Ovis aries: one gene and its partners. The protein of the gene in region 2 interacts with the protein of the main gene of each other region in a pairwise test. Links are inferred from orthologs where the notes say so. Each region holds a gene or a part of one and is shown on either strand. Other genes may lie near its edges.

The links.
Region 1: the proteins of ITSN2 (region 2) and WAS interact in a two-hybrid assay, tested with the Homo sapiens proteins (2 studies listed by BioGRID). The link is inferred for Ovis aries from reciprocal best matches to the Homo sapiens genes ITSN2 and WAS.
Region 3: the proteins of ITSN2 (region 2) and KHDRBS1 interact in a two-hybrid assay, tested with the Homo sapiens proteins (2 studies listed by BioGRID and IntAct, with this or other methods). The link is inferred for Ovis aries from reciprocal best matches to the Homo sapiens genes ITSN2 and KHDRBS1.

The regions. Positions count from the first base shown.
Region 1 is NC_056080.1:56,403,853-56,406,393, forward strand, and holds the end of WAS (actin nucleation-promoting factor WAS), read right to left. Parts: coding exon 2,507-2,541; intron 2,248-2,506; coding exon 2,133-2,247; intron 874-2,132; coding exon 818-873; 3' UTR 565-817; downstream 1-564. UniProt on the Homo sapiens protein: Effector protein for Rho-type GTPases that regulates actin filament reorganization via its interaction with the Arp2/3 complex. Important for efficient actin polymerization. Possible regulator of lymphocyte and platelet function.
Region 2 is NC_056056.1:31,843,387-31,847,041, forward strand, and holds part of ITSN2 (intersectin-2), read right to left. Parts: intron 3,583-3,655; coding exon 3,486-3,582; intron 3,072-3,485; coding exon 2,880-3,071; intron 1,200-2,879; coding exon of another isoform or gene 1,198-1,199; exon of another isoform or gene 1-1,197.
Region 3 is NC_056055.1:235,470,031-235,473,785, forward strand, and holds the start of KHDRBS1 (KH domain-containing, RNA-binding, signal transduction-associated protein 1), read right to left. Parts: upstream 2,228-3,755; 5' UTR 2,071-2,227; coding exon 1,689-2,070; intron 1-1,688. UniProt on the Homo sapiens protein: Recruited and tyrosine phosphorylated by several receptor systems, for example the T-cell, leptin and insulin receptors. Once phosphorylated, functions as an adapter protein in signal transduction cascades by binding to SH2 and SH3 domain-containing proteins.

The DNA of each region.
Region 1 (2,541 bases), on a different chromosome or scaffold from region 2:
TTAATGAGTGTACAAATAACTCTCACTCGTTCACCACATTCAGCCTCACACCAAGCTTTTTCCCACCTCAGGGTCTTTGCATTGGCTATTCCCTCTGCCTGGAAGGCCCTTCCCTCTAAATATTCACATGGTTGAATCCTTTCTCTCTAGATTCAGCATAACTGTCACCTCCTCCAAGTGTCTTTCCCTGAACTCTACATCTTACCATCACTTCCTCTCAGCACAATATAGCTCTTACCATGATCTGTAACTCTTTTTGTTTTTATTTAATTCCTTGTTTCTTGTCTATCTCCTGCCCTAGAATGTTGACCTCACAAGACCAAGAATTTTTGTTGTTTGTTTCCCATTGCTTTATCCCCAGCCCCCAAAGTAGTGCCTGGTAATAAATATCTGTCGAAAGAAGGAAGGGCAGAAGGAAACAAAGAAATACAGACTAAATGACCAAGGGAACAAATGAATAAATAAATATACATATGTATGGCTAAACAAATGAAATAGGAATAAAAGGAACTTTGGGGGAAAAGGACCCCAAATTCTCACATTTGGTAGGTAAAGAAACTGAGATTTAAAGAAACAAAAAGACAGTTATTTTATTTTTTTTTAAAAATCCTTGAATGAGTTGAACTGAGACATTTTATATAAAAAGGTCCCTGGCTATTGCTAGGGTGAGTGTGTGTGGGAGGAGGCCAGTCAGAGATAACAGCATAGGAGGGGTGGGTAGGAAAGAAAAGGGGCTTGGGGGCCAGGAAGTTAAGTGGAGGGTGGCGAGGAGGGCTGCCAGGGGAGCCCAGCACAGAACAGCAGAGGTGGTGGTGATTCAGTCGTCCCATTCATCATCATCATCATCATCCCCGGCCTGGTCCTCCCCTTCGTCTGGAGGGAGAGAGAAAGAGTGGAACTCAGGATGGGTAGGAGGGTTCAAAAGCCCTGGAGAGAGGAGTTACTAGGGTCTAGGAGGTTGGGATACTAAACCCTGGGGGCTGAGATCTCCCACTTGGAAGTTAGATCTGAGGTTTGTGTGTTAGATAAAGGGACCTCCTAAGAGGAGGGAGAGTTAGGGAGGGGCAAGATAGGGACTATAGCTGGGGTCTAGGTTCTAGTTGGAGTCGAGGTTAATATTATAAAAAATATGTGGTTGGTTGGGATATTATTGTCACACAAAGGGTTACTGTTAACAGGCTTGTCACTCAATGGAGTGGATTTAAATATTAGCAAAGGTGGAGGAAGTTACAATGTTGTTTTTTCATAGTGCGTTAATGTTCACATTGTTGACACAGAATGGGGTTAGTGATGATATCATGGTCAAAAGAGGAGGTTTGTTATAATTCTGTCATATAATGGATTCCTATTGATCTGTGAACAGACTCCTGGGTTGATGTCAGTGTTATTGTCGAAGCCGAACTTTAATAATATTATTGTCACACAGTAGGTTGAGGCTAATACTCTCTCTTTCTCTGCTCTCCTCAGTCATGTCTGACTCTTTGCGACCCTTTGGACTGTAGCACACCAGGCTCCTCTGTCCATAAGACTTCCCAGGCAAGAATACTGGAGTGGGTTGCCATTTCCTCCTCCAGGGGCGCCTCCTGAATTAGGGATCGAACCCGCGTGCCCTGCATCTCCTGCATTGGCAGGCGGATTCTTTATCACTGAGCCACCTGGGAAGCCCTGAGGTTAATAGTATCCTCATATAATTCTCATATAATGACAATGCTGTTGATACATTAAGGGACTAACATTAACACTATTGTAAAAGATTGAATTAGTTATAATATTGTCACTAAATGAGTTAATCTTTTGACACATGACATTTGAGTTAATATTAGTGTCAAAGAAGGGGTTCTTTATAATACTATCATCACATAGTGGGCTAATGTTAATACTATTGAACATATGGGGTTAATGTTAATATCATTGTCAAAGAGAGTTAATCATATTACTGTTACATAATGACAGTTAACACTGTCAAAAAAGAGACTGCTACAGATTCATGTTCATTCTCACATCAACAGATGGGACTAATTGCTGGTGGCTGTTGGGGGTGTTTTTAGGTCAACACTAGCTGGGAACCAGGGCCACAGGTCCTGGCAGGATGGGCTCTGAATGGCAGGCTCACAGGGAGGGTGCACTCTCACCAGAGGAATGGATGGCTTTGCTTCTCTTCTGCATCACGTGCATCAGGGCACCCACCAGCCCCTCTGAGCTCTGAGGTGGTGGCTGCAGCGCTGAGCTCTCTGGGGCCCCCGGGGTCTGCAGCAAGCAGGATCCAGCACAGAGGGCTCAGGGCCTGTGAGAGGAGCACTTCTCCCCACCCCTTCATCATTCTTTCTCCTCCCACACACTCTAGTCGCCTTGAAACTCACCTCTCCCCACCAACCTCCCAACCCTATCAGTGAACCCCCAAATCGTGGGACCCCCATCACTCTCAGCCCCAGCCCCCTACCATCCTCACTTGCACAGCACACCCCAGAGTCCCAGTTCCCCAATCCTCCATCACACTGGTTCTCACCTTGTTCAGCTGAATTCCCTGCCGGATTTGATCCA
Region 2 (3,655 bases):
AGTTCTGTAGCCACAGAGCAGCTTCATGGTCCCAGAGGAATGCCAGCTCCCATGCAGCTTTCCTTCACTCTAATTCAGTCTCAACTAGATAGAGACTGTCTGCCTGCTTCAAGGGCATTTAAACTCTTCAAGCATTCCTTATGATCTTTACTAAATACATTAAGAAGAAAGTCAATCAGCGCCCCTTTGTGACCTGGGATATGGAGTCACCTCATTAACATAGATAACATGAATTTCTGACTTTAAAATGTATAGATATAAATTCTCTGCCTAAGGTAGGGAAAGTTTCATATCTTATAGTCAATAATGGGAGCCCTTCATTCCTCAAAAATAAGCCATTTTTAGGTAATCAGTAAAGAAGTAACAACTGACTGCCGCGGCACATCAGCAGGATCTTCACGAGCCCAGAGACCCCAGTGGACTCCTACGGCGCAAGGCTCACTCTGGGACAGCCGCAACAGATAAAACCCACCCTGTTCTGCACGTATGGCTGGGTAGGGCAGGCCACTTCCCTCTTCTATGAGGCAAGAAGAGCTCCCCTAAAGTGTCATCACTCCCACACCAAAATACACAGAAAACAGAGAAACGGGTATTTCCAATTCTTGGCCTTTTAACAAACTTAAATATTGGTACTTATAGTGGCATATTAGAAAGTAATAGAGGAAACAGTGCCTATTGGGGGACAAATCGCATATTGAACCAATTAAGAGCTCATTGTGATTAGGATTAGGTCAAACGTAACAGCAAAACATAAGCAGTTCTGAATTCTATAAGGAATATACATGTTGCAGTAACATTAGAAAAGCATGGCAGCCCATTCCAAACCAGCAAGAACAGTTTGTGCAAATAGTGGGTCTTTGTGTGTTTGAACTCCCACCATGTAAGGGCAAACTCAGTATGCATGCTAATGACCTACAATTACCAAATTAAAAAAGGAGAAAAATGCTAAAAGGATGCCAGAGTGAACAGCAGGGAAAGCCACACAAAGACCCACTATCCTTTAACTTGTTACAAATAAATTTTAACTGTAAATTAGAAACCCAGAGAAATAACCACAAGTGGCTCTAACATTTGAGAACGAAGCTAAGGAATTGTGTAGGAGATATTTGATCAGGGCTGCCTGCCCTGTCTCCACGCTAGAGTCAAACTTGGATAGTGGGTCTCTGGGGTGCTTTCACACTGGAAGACAACACTGGGTCCTATAAAAAGAAAAATGAGGGATAAAATGAACATAAAGCAAATCAAGTGGGTGAGAAAAATTCTACTGATTACATGCAACATCAACAAATTTGAACTACTAAAATTCTCAAACTTTAGAAAATATCCTAACTACCTAGTGAAGTGAAAATGTATGAAGGCTTGAGAAACACACACGATAGTCTAAAACTTAGCTAGTTTTCACTGACTCATATACTCCTGGCTGTTCTTCCTTTAGAACAGTTTCATTGTTTTCTTATATTTCTTATTATAAAAGACTTAAAAGGGAAAAATATGTTCCACCATTGGAAAATAAGATAACAACAAAACATTTGGAACATGATCACTTTACATTGTAGACACTATAAAAGTCAAATGCACTGATAAACCAGAATGCCTCCAAGGATCACTTAGCCCAAGATCTTCCAGACCTAGTGGGTCTGAAAAGTACCTTCCTCTCTCAGGCCCAGGAAAGACACCTCGGGTATGTTTATTAACCAGACAAACTGGCAAGCCCTGAAAACTGCCAAACCATCAGCAGAATTTAAAAATGGTCTTTCATTTAAGTAATCCAAGTTTTATAATTTTCCTTACTACCTCTTCTGAAACCCTGAGGTATTTTTAGGAATATTCAAAGCATAAAAAACTGGACTCCACGTCCAGACTGGGAAATTCAGCTGCTCTATCTAAAGGACGGTCTTCTCCCCAAATCACAATGATCTTTATAAGCTCTAAAGTGAAAATAATGCACTAATAATTTAAAATGATACAGTACAAAGTAAATTCATAATACTTGCACTTAATTGTAAACACAGCTCAGCTTTGACTGGGTTACCATTTATATGTTCTTAGAAGCTAAGTTAAAATGAAAGGCTAAAGCTTTTAGATAATTTCACGAGAATGATAAAAACACAAATCATGATGTATTTTATTAAGAAGGACAAAAAGATCAAAAGGGTGAGGAAAGGTGACCTCTATTTTATGAAGCTAAAAAAATATTTCCAAGTACTGTTTATTCTCTAATGCTACATTTACTGTCAAGTGTAAGAAAGGTGAGGTAACTATCAAGAGATAATGTTATATAATACCAAATCGTATACATTGAGATATGGATCCCTGCAGTAAAAGTAGTAAAACAGATCTTAATTCATATATCTCTGTGGCATGAGTTACCTACCTTAAAAAAATCACCTAATGAGATTTTTGCAAGCACTTTATTTGTAAAATAAATTTTATAATTTTCTTCTAACCTGGTGATGTGTAATAACATGGGAAATAAGGTTGCAAAATTAATAGCACCTGTACACTACAAGGGTCATTCTGCACAGCTGAACACACTAACTGCCAGCTAGTCTCTACTCTCTCTTAAGCTGAAAAAGGCTGGTATAAAGAGAAGCCGCAGCAGAGACTGTTATCACACCAAGGAACTCATGAAAGAACTAGAACTTTTTTTCAGATAAAGTCTAACAGTAAGGTCTGAAGCTAGGAAAACAGAATTGGAAAAAAAGCAATATAACTTTTGATTTTGTAGAAGTTTCTTATTATATCTTCTTACTCTAAACATTAATAAACATTCGCTGAGAGTGCTCAGCTTAAGATTCTGGTTGAGAAAAGTACGGAATGCAGTGCTGTACGCTAAAGCCGATGCACTATGAAGAAGTAAATAGTCTGACATTACTCACACTGCTGACTTGGATCTGCATCCGTCGTCATCTTAACATAGTTCGAAGGGAAGAGACCAGTCACCCCACTGATTTCTCCTTGCCACCAGTCAGGATCATCCTTGTTTAAAACATTAATAAGCTGTCCCTTGGAGAAACTGAGCTCATCCTCGTTGTTTGCTGTGTAGTCATACATGGCAATCACCTGACATACTACCAGAGAAAGAACAACAAGAGCAACAAGTCAAATTGTGTAATTCTCCCTATTAGCATCATATGTTAAAATTCTGCTAACATTTCCCTCTAGCTGTTCTCTCCCACCCTCCTTCCTCTATTCCCTGTTTCACTAAAGCAAGAATTTCCCAAATGTAGTTTGGAAATCCAAGCAACTGCTTTGAAGTATGATGGTAGAGCAATTAAACAATTTCAAGGAGTGATGTAGTTCAAGCATCACTGAACAGCTGGCTGTTTCTAACAGAACTTTTTAGAAAGGAAGTTCTCACAGAGGTAAAGAAAGAACAAATTTTAAAATATTTTTCAAAGAATTGGCTAATTTAAGAAATGCTGAGTTAAAAAAAAAAAAAAAAAGCTTCCTAAGATGAAACACAAGTTAACACATTTCCATACCAGGATGAAAGGCAGGTGTAGTTCTTTCACTACTTGGACCCAAAAGTTTAACATGGCTGGCAGGAAACCATCCTTTCTGTCGCTTTTTCCCTCTGGCCTATAAAATTAGCAAAAAGAACACACAAAATGAGACTAAAGACAATTGTTGAGACATAAACTAAAAATAAGAA
Region 3 (3,755 bases), on a different chromosome or scaffold from region 2:
TACAACTAGGAGAAAACTGGTGGCAAGTTATTAGCTAATGATTACAGGTCAAAAGGAACTGTGCCAGAGCTTTTTATACAACATTTAATCCTCACAACTCACCACCCCACTTTACAGATGAGCTTAGTGAGATTCAAAAAGTTTCCCAAGAATAGATGACTAGTCAAGAGCTAGAATTTCAAAGCCAAGTCAACACCTTACAGTTCTAAAGTTTGTTATTTTATTCTATACATTTAATCTGGACTGTTTGAAGATGCAAGAAAATAAAAATAAAACCCAGTCAACTTTTACCATTGTCTGAGGTTCTTGAACCTACATGTACTTGCTTTCAGATTCAAACAACTGGTATTTGCTATATGCAAGACAATAAGATTTAAAAAGCTTTCCTTGCCCTCAAAGAGTTTGCCAGAAGAACACAATGAACAGTAATGTTTCAAACAATCTGACTGTGTTATAGAAGAGCAAAGCACAGAGCTGAAGCCGTAAGCAGTTTATTTAAATGTTATTCTTGAATGTCTGGGGCTTTGTTTACTGTTTAAAAGTAAAGATCTCTAATGTTGGGAGACAGAGAACAAACGCAGGGAAAAAGATATTTTCATATAGGGCCTGTCCATTATTTCAATCCTGCCAAAGAGTCCAACTACTCACTCAGTGTTGGAAGGTTTTGAATTTTTATTTGCTTATAAAATTTAGGTATCATAAGACACTCATTATACCGTTTTAACAGGAAGAGAGGGCAAAATAGGCGGTTTTCAGGAGAAATCAGAGCGACTAGATGATGGCTAGTTTTGCGCAAAAAAGGAGCGCTAGTCTACAGACAAGAGAACAAAGACTACTATTCCTCGTCTGTTTCACTACTGAGAAGAGCGGGGGAGGAGGCCACGCAAACTTCTGTCAATTTTTTTCCCCATCTGATTGGGAATGCCACGCAAACCATCCTTAACCTCCTTCTATCACCCCTTCACCGTCTCTAGGTTTATTTTTTTCCCCTTTCTTGAATGCACAACACACATTATAAAATAAAGGGATCCAAAACGTCTGGCTAGGCAGAAATGACCATCTTATCTGCCGAGGTCGGAAATATAATTCGGAAAACCTCAAGCTCGGATTCCCACAGGTTGCTCCTGCCTCCAAGCAACTCAAGCTCCAGTTACCGCTAAGTCCGACCGGCCCCTGCGGCCGCGGCGCTGGACAGGGCACCCCAGTCTCATCCCATCTCACCTCGCCCCCCGCCCCACTCACGGTCCCTCCCGGCTCAGGCTGTCTTCACCTCCTACACTCAGTTGAGGCGCCGACAGCCACCCGCGATCAAACAAGCTTCCCCTTTGGGGGAAGGGGGAGATGAAGGTTCCTTTCTGGAAGAATCTGAGCACTCGGAGCGCAGGGCAGCTGCAAGAGGGGAGGAGGAAGGGTCGGCCAAGGGGGCGGGGAACGCGGCATTTATCCATCAAGATCTTTGCGCTAAGAGATGGCTAAGTTCCCTCCGGGCCTCCACTGCCGTCTGGAAATTCTCCCTCGCACTCTGGGCCGGGATGGGAACGTGGAATCTTAAGCTTCCGAAGATGAAGATGAGAGGAGTCCACGATTGCCGAGGTCCTCAGGGAACGGGAAGCAAGAGGAACAAAGCCGCTACCACCCATGCCCCTGGCTGGCCCGGAGACCCAGAGGGACCCCAGAGGCCCGCTTACCTGCCGTCAGCAACTGCATGGCGTGAGTGAAGGACGGGTCAAGAGAGTCCTTCTCGGCCATGAGTTCGGGCAGATACTTGTTCTCCGGCTCCATCTTGACGGAGGCAGTGGCTGAGGGGGGCAGCAGCGGGGTCGGCGCTGGACCGCCCACTGTCGCGTCGGGACCGGTGGCCGAGGGCGGCAGCAGCGGTGGCGGCTGCGTGGCGGGCGAGGCCCGGGCGCCCCCGCGAGACCCTCCTCCGCCTCCCCGGGACCGGTGAGGCAGCGGTGGCTGCCGAGGGGGCGCCTGACGCACGGAGGGGTGGGCACCTGAGGGGTCCATGGAGCCGCTGCGGCCCGAGGACCGGCTCATGCGAGCGGCGGGGTCGTCCCGGCGCTGCATTGGGAAAGATGTGCGATTAAGGGATCGAGGAAGCGACGCGGTAGCGGCAGAGGCCTGAGCGCCGGCGGCCCGAGCGGCGGTTGGCGGGGGTGGGAGAGCGGGAGCGACAGCGACCGAAGCCGACCCGAGCGACCCAGCAAAAGAGAGCACCGGAAATGAGGCGGCGCGCGTGCGCAGCCAGCCACCGGCACCGCCCTTGGGTCTCTCCGCGGAGAACAAAGTCCCCGGTCGGGCCACGGCGCCTGCGCACCGCCGTGGAGTCTGAAGAAGTCGCCTCCTCTCTCCCCTTTTCCCTCCGAGCCCTCCAGGCCGGGTACTTGAGCGCGTGCGCGGGAGGCCGCGGGCTCCGTTCGTTTCTTTTCCACGTGACTCGGCGCTAGCGGGACACGTGTCTCCTCCCTCTTCTGGCCGAGCGCACAGAGGGGGCGGGGGCTGTGGAATGTCTTTGTCTGCGCGCGAGCCCGCGGAGTGTGGGGCGGGAGACCTGTTACTCGCGGGGCCACGCCTCCAACGGCTGAGCTGTGGAGGGGGGGTGCCTGTACTCAGTCGGTGGGTCGGGCGCGGGGTGGGGAGGGGAGTGGTTACTGAAGAATGAAAGGAGACCCTCCCGGGGGATGCGGGAGGGGAAGGAGAGGGAATTGGGGCTGACTGGGCAGAAGAAGGCGAGGGTGAGAGGCGCAAGGGAGATTAGAGTGAAGAAGGAACGACTAAGGGAGAGTCTGACGTAGGGTTGAGGGGTGGAGATGCGGCCAGACTTGGAGGGGGCCATTGAGGAAGGACTGGTCAGTGGAAAGACTGAAGGCTATTGGAGGAGTTAAACTAAGAGGGAGGGTTCAGATCAGGGACCTAATATCCAGCCAGGAAAAGGGCCCCAGACCGAAACAGGGAGTCCAAGAAGTCGTATCCTGTCGTTTCCAGTATAGTGGGTTCTTAGACTTAGCCGTTGTTGATCAGAGAAGTCGTCTGAAAGGTGAAGCATTTTAACTCTCTGCGTATAGTACTGCTTTCTGCAGATTGTGTTTCTTTCACAAAAAAAGTGGGGTAGAGGCCAGCTCTAATCTGTGATGGTTGCATCATTCGGGTGGCTTCTTCTGATGTGAGTGCTAATCCTCCTGCTGTAAATCATCTTTCTACACTTGCTCAAAGAGATAGACCCTTACCACAGCTCTCAAGGCCAAGGCATTATAGTGGACAGTCTCCCACAGCCTACTCCTTATCCTGGGGTGCTATATGCAGATGAAGGCTAGGTCCTTACTTTCCATAAACTCTAACACTTGGTACCTTCTCTAACCCTTCCCCCCACAGATTTTTTTTTTTTTTCTTCTCTCATTCAAAGCATTTGCTCTCATCCCTTTTCCTTCTGGATCTGTTCCCCTAATAAACCCACGCTTTCCAAAAGCATTTCTGGAAATTGTCTTCTGGGAGCCTAAAAACTGCTGATTTGTAGATTTGAAACTTAGAAGCCTTCAGCTTAGGGAACATTAGGGCTTGGCTGCCTTCTTGGGGGTAGGGAGATAAATCACCAGCAGGAATGAGAACAAAACACAAATCTCCATAAATTATCACATAGGTCACATAGATAGTTTATAATCAAGGAGGAGGAAAAAAGAAAGGAATGTTTTTGGATAATTGTAATGAAGAATGTAATGTGACAAATGCCCAAAGATAAGTAAATATTAGGTGGG